2 linked regions of the Drosophila melanogaster genome follow. The protein of the gene in region 1 interacts with the protein of each later gene in a biochemical or structural test. Each region holds a gene or a part of one and is shown on either strand. Other genes may lie near its edges.

Region 1 (6,009 bases):
AACCCCAGGTCCAGATGCCAACTCAACTTCTGCTTTCACTGACTCCAAGACCAGAGGTCTTTGATGCACCCTCACCACTGACCAGAAGTCCCTCACGATCTCCCGGAATCTCTCCCCCCGTGTCACCATCACCCAGCATTACTCTCAGACCGAGTACCCCTCCCGAGAACACCGTAATCTTCACAGATGATCTCAAGTGCGGCATCTGCCTGGATGTTTACACAGATCCCAGGACACTGCATTGCTTGCATTCCTTTTGTCTCCAATGTCTGGTCAGCGAGAACTTTAAGGACGAATCTTTGTGGGATCAGGATCAAGCTCGCAGTGAGGAGCCCTCGAATTACAGTCTAAGATCGGAGATGGGTGGATCTAGTGCGGAACTTACTGCGACAGTATCACCCGCCAGGCAGCGAGGTTCCAGTTTTACATTGAGAAGAAAGAAGTCCATGGATCGCCTAGTGATAAGGGTAAGATAGCAAGATACAAAGAGGTTATGTCCTATAAAACCCAATTTATTCGAACAGTCCAAGAGTGACGGAAAGCGATCGACCAGTTCCATCGGTACCCGATTCACCGGAAGTTTTGCCAGCGAGGTATCCACCCGCTGCATCCGCTGTCATACCTGTAACTATCCCACGGATCTTTCGTTAGGTGGAGTACGTCAGCTTCCACAGAACTACTTGCTAGTGAGACGCATAGAGGTCTTGCGACTACAGGCTGGGGAGGATGTAATCTCCAGGGTCTGGTGTTCTCTTTGCACAGAGGAGATTAGCGTAAGGAGGACGAAGTCATTAAGTGATTTGAAGGCTGTCTAAAAGCGTATAATCTTTTCCAGGCCACCTACCACTGCATTAGCTGCACTTTAAACCTCTGCACCTTGTGCAAGGAGGCACACGAAAGGCAAAGGAGCACCGCTAGCCATCGAATGAGAAGCATCCTGGAACTTAGACGCGCCAGGAAGCAAAAGCAACAGCAGATGGGATTGGGAGATAGTAGCAAACTAGTGCTACGATGCGGAATCCATACCAACTTTGAGCTGAAGGCATTTTGCACCAACTGCCGTCAACTGGCATGCACCGACTGTTTGGTGATCCTTCATAAAGGCCATCGACATGAGACCATATCCCGGGCAATTGGACATCAGGGTAAACTACTCAAAGAAGCTACGGATCAAACTCGTCCCCTCTGTCAATATGCGGAGCACTCCATTGAGAGGTTGAATGCCATAGCACGTGGAATCAACGACCGGTGTGACGACATCCAGACTCAAGTGGAGCGGTACATGCAGCAGTACATGGATGCCCTGACAGTCCATCGCAAGACTCTGCTCCAGCAAATCAGCAGAGCTAGGGAGTCCAAAGTGGAGGTAGTGCTCAAGCAGCAACTTGATTTGGGTAAGACATATTTCATTTGGTTAAAGCTCTAGTTATCTGACGTAGTCCTGTAGAGAAACGCACTCAGCAGGCCATGGATGCGGTTAGATTTAGCCAAGAGCTGTGCGAGATTGGTGCTGATGTAGAGATTCTGAGTTATGTGACTATACTTCTAAGGCGTTTGGAGTACTGTCAGCAATTTAAGCCGCCTGTGGATCCCAAGGTAGGTTACCAAATTGCTTGTTTTATTGTTTTATAAAGTAAACCATTTTACCCAGATATCCGACTCGCTTCACTTCCTACCAAAAATCCGTGCTCCGTCGACAAAGGACCAGCGCGATATCCCTCTATATGGCATCATCACCATGCAGGTAGTGGAGCCTAGTCTATGCACCCTTGAGTGGGAGGGATTTTCACAGCTGCGCCTCCACAAAAAAGCGGATCTTCTGCTTCACTCTAGAGATGCCGACGGGGTTTCCCTCTGCCACGGTGGCCTGGAGATCAACTGCATGCTGAAGTACAAGGACTCCAGTTCCAAGTTTCTACCCGTTGAGGTGTCGGACAATCGTGATGGCACCTACAACATATCCTTCACCCCGGATGCCCAGGGCACGTTGATTCTCACGATCACCATTAACGACCGGCCCATCAAGGGAGGTCCTTTCACTTTTCAAGCGCGACAGGTTCGTCCGCATACGGGCATCTACCACTGCTGCTCCTTCTGTTCCGGAAAGGGCAACCGGAACGTGATGTGCTCGTGTGAGGGTCATATGCCTGGATATAGTGGCTGCGGTCATGGACATGCTGGACATCCAGGGAGACGTCATTGGTCCTGCTGTGGAAATGTCCTTGAGAACTCGGAATGCAATGTGGCCAACAAACTGCTTAATTCTTAAGTAATTGATTAGGATGCAGGGCTATAAAACGAATAAATTAACATATAGCCAGGTTTCGCCATTTTGTTTGTTCATCTTGTGAAATTTCAAAGATCTTGTAGTTTATACGCACGCGCAGATAGACAACAAGGATACTTCAAAATAAACGTTTTTCTACCTGCAAAATACATGCATTCCAACAGACCCGACAGTCCATTTACAATGTGCACACAATAATCTCAGATTGCTAAGGCTACAAAATCCCTTTCGACCTCTGGAATTACCAATTGAATTCTCCTTATTACCATATGGTCAGCATATGCGCGTCATATCCTGACCGTTGAGCAACAAGTCGCAAATAAAAGTTACTTATATAGGCTCCAGCAGAATAAAGGTTTTTTTTATTTATTGAAAATGGTTATCATAAATACAGACACTGACTCTGGACATTTATGGAAAAAAGTCCGATGCCTTAAGAGTTGGTTGGGTGGTTTTGAAAGCGCCTGCAAGGAGCTATAATTCTAAGTGGGTAATTTTTCGTTAAATGTATAATCGTTCTTTTTCGCTTTCGATGATCCAACTGTTTAATCTTCATTATCAGAGTACCAGGATAGGCGCTCTTCGTAGAAGTGGATTACCATTCGTGGGATTTTTTCATTGGCCACTGAGGAGGGCACCATTTCTGCTTGGTCCACGCCTTTGAACTGAATGAGGAATGTCAGGCGGCCATTATTGTCGGAGGCACCCAAGATCTTTTCGGCCTCCAGGCCGCGATCGAATCCGGTAGATCCTGAAACGGGAATGGTGTCCTGCTCCGCATCTGTGGTACGTTTTGATTTATTGCCAGAGGGCGCTAAATAAATAAAATAAAAACAAGTAATTAATACAGTGCAATTTTTTAATAGATGCATTTTTTTATTGCAAAGACCATCTTTTTCTTGCGCATGCCATTCTTGCGAAGGACAAAATTTGAGATACATATGTGAATACAGTTTTGACGAAAAGGGCAAATAAATGCCAGTGGATATTGTAGGTGATGACTATTGTTATACCAATTTGTGTACAGAAAATATTTGTAGGTACACTCAATTCCATAGCTTACCTGTTGGTTCTTCGGACTTTCGCTTGCTTGCTGTGGACGTCGAACTGCTGGCGCGTCCTTGAGTTTCCTTGGCCTTGGCGCTGCTGCTGGGTCGATCCTTCTTGGAGGCGGCTGACTTCTCCTACGGACCGAAACGAGATGTAAAGGAAATCCTAGCAAGCACAACTGTACTTGGCATCGCATTGTACTTCACTTACCTCATCCTTGCGGCTCGCCTCGTACTGCTGGATAAGATCCTGGCAGTCGAGATTGTTCTCCGGCTCCCACGTGTTCTCAGTTTCGGGATAGCCCTTCCATTTCAGATAGTACTCCACCTGCAGGTGGAAAATGGCGTTTTAGGACCAAATATAATGGGACGTCTGGTTCGGAAAACTCACCTTTCCCTTGCGCACCCGCCTGTCGATGATCTTTTCCACGGCGTACTCCTCCTCCTCCTCTTCGGCATCGGAAACCTTTGCCGAGCTCTCAGGGTTGTCGATTTTCTTGCCCATTTTGTTTTTATTAAAATACTTCACACGACAAAAAATAAGGAAAGAATTAGCACAACCGCACACAACCGCACACACACGCAAAGTACGAAAGGAAAGTACGATTTTTAGTCGACTCTCTTTGCTTTCATGGCTCACCTAGATTAAATAAGATCTACACTTTATGCACGCAGCTAAATTGGTTTTTATAAGCCTGTGTGTTGGCGCTAGAAGACTTTCCACAAAATGAAAAATCTGCAAAAAAATGCGCGTTCTAAAATGACGCCGGCCGAACAGTGTGCGAAAGTACGCGTGGACTGCTAAGACTACGCTTATCTATTTTCCGATAGATTTGCACATCGTATTAATTTCATTTTAAGTCTAGAAAAATGTTAACACTAAGAACTATCTAAATTTTACAACATAACTATAATAATAACGTAACTAACTGATCGCCAATATCTGTTTTTAAAAATTTTGTAATAAATCGATGAATCGATTAAGGAATCCGTTGTACCACAACTATTATCGACGCGTTTCACAGCACTGAATAAGTTGCGCGAATATTCACGAATTTTTTGACAATTTGCGTTTTGTTTCTTCTGTTTTACGGAAATTCTATAAAAATGCCCAAAACAAAGAAGAAGGATTCGTCCTCAGATAGCGATAGCGGTCCAGATGATGTAAGTTAACTAGAAATACACCAAAACTAGGTATAACAAGTTAAAACCTCTTTCAGCGTATCAAGCCGGCAAGCAAGAAGGCGAAGGAATCTGATGCTCCAAATTCAGATCCAAAAGATTCGGGCGAAAATGGTGCTACATCTTGGACCCTGGAAGGACTTCGCCAGGTGCGAATCAACGAGTTCCGCGGTCGCAAATCGGTGGACATTCGAGAGTTCTACGATAAGGGCGGCCAAATTCTTCCCGGCAAGAAGGGCATCTCCCTATCTTTAATTCAATGGAAGAAACTCCTTGAAGTGGCCGAAGAAGTCACCCGCGCGATCGAGAATTAATTGAAGTTCATCCACATGCCAAACTAAGTCGTAGCCATATGTACTAACTATAGACATATCCACTGAATAAACGTTATCTTAAACACTAGTAATTGAAAATCTGTATTTTCACAGTTGCTGAAGCATTAATGAATGACCAACTTAATTGCCTGATAGGTATTTTCCTTATCTGCTTTGTGGTGGGACTACAAAAAGCACACATATACATAAATGAATGAATCCTTTATTGGACGTCATATGTACATAGATTTGTACATTGATAGCATTTGATATAGATATGAATATTAAAAATAGATGCCCAGAATGGTGAAGATGGACAGGAGAATGGCAAACGGCAGCCAGGTCTTAATAAAACCCCCTATTCCGACGTAGCGGCCGCAGACAAAGAGCCACATGCTGAGGATAATCATGTTCCATGCGGTGCTGTCGTAGTAGCGCATGTAGATGAGTGCCGTTGCCACATGCGAGTGGCAGTTGTCACAGAAGATATTGTGGATGCGGGTGCCGTAGAGCACAGATGCTTTGGAGACCGCCTCGTCCCAGGCGTAACTGCCGCCCACCATGTGCTTGGGGTGCAACCTTATGTACCGGGTGGGTCTTCCAAAGGCCATGTTGTCCTCTGATACGAAGTAGGGGCCGGCGAAGTCACGAATCACACCGGACGAAGTGCAAATGCCCATATGTCCGATCATGGGCATCAGCCAGGTGAGAACCGGAATGGGAGTCCAAACGATGCAGTAGGGGAAGCGTTGGTCCTTTACGTTGATCGGAGGCAGTCTATCCGGAACGCCATTGCCGGCTCCTCCTCCGGAACTGGCCATCGAGATCTGAACGTCCTCGGACTGTTGCCGCTGCGGACTTGGGTTTGTCGACATTATTACACTGTATTAGGTTGATATTTGTGCGGGGAAGCCACAAGAACAGTCACTCACGGTCTTCCCGGCCGTAATGCCCATGAAACGAGTCGCTAACAATTCCAATTGGGCTTTAATTGTACGATAAGGAGAAAATAAAGCAGTCGCAGTTCACTCACATCTACCTCAGTATTTATTGACATGGAGATTGACAGTGTTGGAAAGCATTGCTGTATGGCAGAGGCGTCTGAAAGGGGGATCCAGAGACCACGTACAAACGTAGTCACACGAAATTTTCAACTCCGCAAAGTTGACAAATTCTT
Region 2 (5,017 bases), about 13 Mb from region 1:
GACAAAAAGCCCAAAGCTAAGAAGGCTGTGGCTACCAAAAAGACTGCCGAAAATAAGAAAACTGAGAAGGCAAAAGCCAAGGATGCCAAGAAAACTGGAATCATAAAGTCGAAGCCCGCCGCAACAAAGGCGAAAGTGACTGCAGCGAAGCCAAAGGCTGTAGTAGCGAAAGCGTCAAAGGCAAAGCCAGCGGTGTCTGCAAAACCCAAAAAGACGGTGAAGAAAGCATCGGTTTCTGCTACCGCCAAGAAGCCGAAAGCGAAGACTACGGCTGCCAAAAAGTAAATTGTGAAAAAGTGCAGTATTTGGTACATGTTCGCAATTAAAATTTTAGATTTATGATTTATAGATCTGAAATTTGTTTAAACAAGTCCTTTTCAGGGCTACAACGTTCCGTTGCAAGAGAAAAAAACTTTTATTTTCTTCCACTTATTTATTAGCTGACGTTCGCAGCAACAATAAAACGTTTCATGTCATGAATTACATTGCATGTTGGTCGCATTCAGTTTTCGTTCCCGATTTTTTTGTATTTATTTGAACATTACCCAATTACCCATATTGCGGGTAAATAAGTTTTATTTGTAAATTCATATTCGATGATTGGTAGTTGAAAAATGCATTTCTTTGGTATAACACATTGTGGCCTTGAAAAGGGCCGTTTTGGATTATTGTCCGCATTCGCAGGAGAAAATTATTTAGAGCTGGTGTACTTGGTGACAGCCTTGGTTCCCTCACTGACAGCATGCTTGGCCAACTCTCCAGGCAAAAGCAGGCGAACAGCCGTTTGGATCTCCCGACTGGTGATGGTCGAGCGCTTGTTGTAGTGAGCTAGACGAGACGCTTCGGCAGCAATTCGCTCGAAAATATCATTTACAAAGCTGTTCATTATGCTCATCGCCTTCGACGAAATTCCGGTGTCAGGATGGACCTGCTTGAGAACCTTGTAAATGTAGATGGCATAGCTCTCCTTCCTTTTGCGCTTCTTTTTCTTGTCGGTCTTGGTGATGTTCTTCTGAGCCTTGCCAGCCTTCTTGGCTGCCTTTCCACTAGTTTTCGGAGGCATTGTTCACGTTACTTATATTTTCACAAACACAATTCACTTATCGTAATGTGGGCCCGAACGCGTTCACGTTTATACTTTTTTTCGAGCAGTCAATTCAGGTCTAAGTCACCCACCCCTAACTGAATGCGCAGGCAAACGGAAAAGTATAAATATTTCGCTGTCTGGGTTAGGCGAGCATTCGTGTTCCGTGCGTAAAGTGAACTAAGTGAAATAAACGCAAAGCAAAATGTCTGGACGTGGAAAAGGTGGCAAAGTGAAGGGAAAGGCAAAGTCCCGCTCAAACCGTGCCGGTCTTCAATTCCCTGTGGGCCGTATTCACCGTTTGCTCCGGAAGGGAAACTACGCAGAGCGTGTTGGTGCAGGCGCTCCAGTTTACCTAGCTGCCGTAATGGAATATCTGGCCGCTGAGGTTCTCGAGTTGGCTGGCAATGCTGCTCGTGACAACAAGAAGACTAGAATTATTCCGCGTCATCTGCAACTGGCCATCCGCAACGACGAGGAGTTAAACAAGCTGCTCTCCGGCGTCACAATTGCACAAGGTGGCGTGTTGCCTAATATACAGGCTGTTCTGTTGCCCAAGAAGACCGAGAAGAAGGCCTAAACGTTTCAAAGGCTAAGCTAAAAACCTACATGTACATAAAATCGTCAATCAAACCGTCCTTTTCAGGACGACCAAATTATTACCAAAGAATTGAAAAATTTTTTAGCTTGGCAATTTGTTGTAATTAGTAAATCATAAAGAATTATTAACGTAAAGATGGTAATGTAGTAAGGGTTTTCTACTATATGCGGTATAAACTATAATTTGCTTCTTTAAACAATCGCACACCACGATGTGATGCTGTACATGCGGTGTCTGAAACCATTTGTACAGTCTGTACAAATCCATGTTAGAAATACACATTCTATTTAAAAGAGTACGAACGACAGACATTTATTTTTAGTTTAACATATTTTTTGGGAGTCCCGACCAATAAAATTAAATACTTTTTGAAAATCTTCCTCCTTTTAAAAACTGAATGGTGGTCCTGAAAAGGACCGATTGCTTAATAGGGGTACACAGGATGTACACTTTTTAACCGCCAAATCCGTAGAGGGTGCGGCCTTGCCTCTTCAGAGCGTACACAACATCCATGGCTGTAACTGTCTTCCTCTTGGCGTGTTCCGTGTAGGTCACGGCATCACGAATTACGTTCTCCAAGAAAACCTTCAGAACGCCACGCGTTTCCTCGTATATGAGTCCAGATATGCGCTTCACACCGCCTCGACGGGCCAAACGGCGGATAGCAGGCTTCGTGATACCTTGGATGTTATCACGCAGCACTTTGCGATGACGCTTGGCGCCACCCTTTCCCAAGCCTTTGCCTCCTTTACCACGACCAGTCATTTTTCACTGTTCTATACTATTATACACGCACAGCACGAAAGTCACTAAAGAACTAATTTCAACGTTTCTGTGTGCCCCTATTTATAGGTAAAACGACAAAAACCCGAGAGAGTACGAACGATATGTTCGTTCGCTTTTCGCTCGTCAAATGAAATGGCCTCCGTTTTTCTCTCTCTCTCTCTCTCTCTCTCTTTCACCGTCCACGATTGCTATATAAGTAGGTAGCAAATGCTCTGATCGTTTATTGTGTTTTCAAACGTGAAGTAGTGAACGTGAACTTTAGTGAAACCCAAATCGGAGATGGCTCGTACCAAGCAAACTGCTCGCAAATCGACTGGTGGAAAGGCGCCACGCAAACAACTGGCTACTAAGGCCGCTCGCAAGAGTGCTCCAGCCACCGGAGGTGTGAAGAAGCCCCACCGCTATCGCCCTGGAACCGTGGCCTTGCGTGAAATTCGTCGCTACCAAAAGAGCACCGAGCTTCTAATCCGCAAGCTGCCTTTCCAGCGTCTGGTGCGTGAAATCGCTCAGGACTTTAAGACGGACTTGCGATTCCAGAGCTCGGCGGTTATGGCTCTGCAGGAAGCTAGCGAAGCCTACCTGGTTGGTCTCTTCGAAGATACCAACTTGTGTGCCATTCATGCCAAGCGTGTCACCATAATGCCCAAAGACATCCAGTTAGCGCGACGCATTCGCGGCGAGCGTGCTTAAGCTGACACGGCATTAACTTGCAGATAAAGCGCTAGCGTACTCTATAATCGGTCCTTTTCAGGACCACAAACCAGATTCAATGAGATAAAATTTTCTGTTGCCGACTATTTATAACTTAAAAAAAATAAGAACAAAATTCATATTCTATTATTTATGGCGCAAACGGTACTGGGTCTTAAATCATATGTAAAAATACTAATTCTGCCAGAGAAGGAATAAAAATAATCTTATTTTAATTGTCAGCTCAACATTTATTAAATTAAAGAAGAGGTTAATAAATATAAAATATATATAAAAATATATATTTTTATTTGTTCTTTGTGCGAACATCCTTTAAAGCAGTGAAAGTGTCGTGCGGGGCAAGGGACTCTGAACCTTAAACATCTAAAAAAAAATCTGAATTCTGTGTAAGACAGTTTGAAATTAATGAAATTACATTGATGACGGCAATATTTATAAAATAACAGAAAATAATAAAATAAAACTAGCTATTTTATATTTTTTCCATGTGTTAACTGAAGAAAGTGTTATTATTGAAGAGGTCGTACGGGACAATTGACACTGTCCCTTCAAACGCCTGTAAAAAATAAAACCTATGTAAAATTCAGCACGGAAATTGGCTAATTTTGTTGCGGAATGTAATATATATTACATAATAAAGGATAATACAAAAATTGTTTCTTTTTATTTTTTATTTGATTTATTTATTTGACTACATAGACGGTAATGCATATGTGGCGAGGAAATCGATTGATTTCAGAACAAATTATTTTAAAATATGCATGAAAACACATTAATAACAAGCAAACACATTAATAATTTAAGAAAATATTATTTATTATATTAATATTATGTTATTTAAGAAAGTATCTGTATTTTTAACGATCGAAAATTATTTCTGAATGCTGCTTTAAAGCAAATTTTTCTGTAGTTCAATGTGAACTTAAATCAAGTAATAAAGTATCTTAATTAATAATAGACGCTTCTTTCAGAAGCCCTTCTAGGGGATGAACGTTTCAATTTTAATAAACATAACGAATTAGTGAAATATTTGCAATGATTCTTATTTTATTAGATGTTTTTTTATAAATTGGTCCAGTTAAAAATTTGAATATAAAAATTCAATCAACATTTGAAAGTCTCAAAACCCATATTACATCCTTTTAAAAATGGAAAGTGACGAAAAAATTATTTAAAAGTGTAGAACTATTAAAACCTTATTTTTATTAATGATTTAAAATACTAAAAAATTAATAAAAGTTTACACTTCAAGCAAACTTTGACATAGTAAATGACTGATGTCAGTAGCATTGTTAAAGTGCTCTCCTCCTCGATTCTCATCAGAGCAAAGGAGGTTGGTAGGCAGCGCGCGAGCCATTTTTAACAGAAAAAAAGTGTTCTCAGTGAAAAAAAGATGTCTGATTCTGCAGTTGCAACGTCCGCTTCCCCAGTGGCTGCCCCACCAGCGACAGTTGAGAAGAAAGTGGTCCAAAAAAAGGCATCTGGATCTGCTGGCACAAAGGCAAAGAAAGCCTCTGCGACGCCGTCACATCCGCCAACTCAGCAAATGGTGGACGCTTCCATTAAAAATTTAAAGGAACGTGGCGGTTCATCACTTCTGGCAATCAAAAAATATATCACTGCCACTTATAAATGCGACGCCCAAAAGTTAGCGCCATTCATCAAGAAGTACTTAAAATCGGCCGTGGTCAATGGAAAGCTTATTCAAACTAAGGGAAAGGGTGCATCTGGATCTTTCAAACTGTCGGCCTCTGCCAAGAAGGAAAAGGATCCGAAGGCAAAGTCGAAGGTTTTGTCTGCTGAGAAAAAAGTTCAAAGCAAGAAGGTAGCCTCTA

What was found. Proteins that work in one complex are often made in the same cells at the same time.
Region 2: the proteins of Su(var)205 (region 1) and His3:CG31613 form a complex in vitro, tested with the Drosophila melanogaster proteins (9 studies listed by BioGRID, with this or other methods).

What each region holds. Positions count from the first base shown.
Region 1 is NT_033779.5:8,207,003-8,213,011, forward strand, and holds Su(var)205 (suppressor of variegation 205), read right to left. Parts: upstream 4,121-6,009; 5' UTR 3,842-4,120; coding exon 3,728-3,841; intron 3,665-3,727; coding exon 3,548-3,664; intron 3,472-3,547; coding exon 3,351-3,471; intron 3,102-3,350; coding exon 2,833-3,101; 3' UTR 2,624-2,832; downstream 1-2,623. Other genes in the region: CG8419 (uncharacterized protein), read left to right, coding at 1-467, 525-773, 836-1,394, 1,448-1,596, 1,652-2,269; Ssb-c31a (single stranded-binding protein c31A), read left to right, coding at 4,444-4,500, 4,557-4,832; CG8372 (uncharacterized protein), read right to left, coding at 5,117-5,707. UniProt on the Drosophila melanogaster protein: Structural component of heterochromatin, involved in gene repression and the modification of position-effect-variegation. Recognizes and binds histone H3 tails methylated at 'Lys-9', leading to epigenetic repression.
Region 2 is NT_033779.5:21,422,500-21,427,516, forward strand, and holds His3:CG31613 (histone H3), read left to right. Parts: upstream 1-2,693; 5' UTR 2,694-2,750; coding exon 2,751-3,161; 3' UTR 3,162-3,222; downstream 3,223-5,017. Other genes in the region: His1:CG31617 (histone H1), read left to right, coding at 1-285; His2B:CG17949 (histone H2B), read right to left, coding at 692-1,063; His2A:CG31618 (histone H2A), read left to right, coding at 1,290-1,664; His4:CG31611 (histone H4), read right to left, coding at 2,139-2,450; His1:CG33804 (histone H1), read left to right, coding at 4,576-5,017.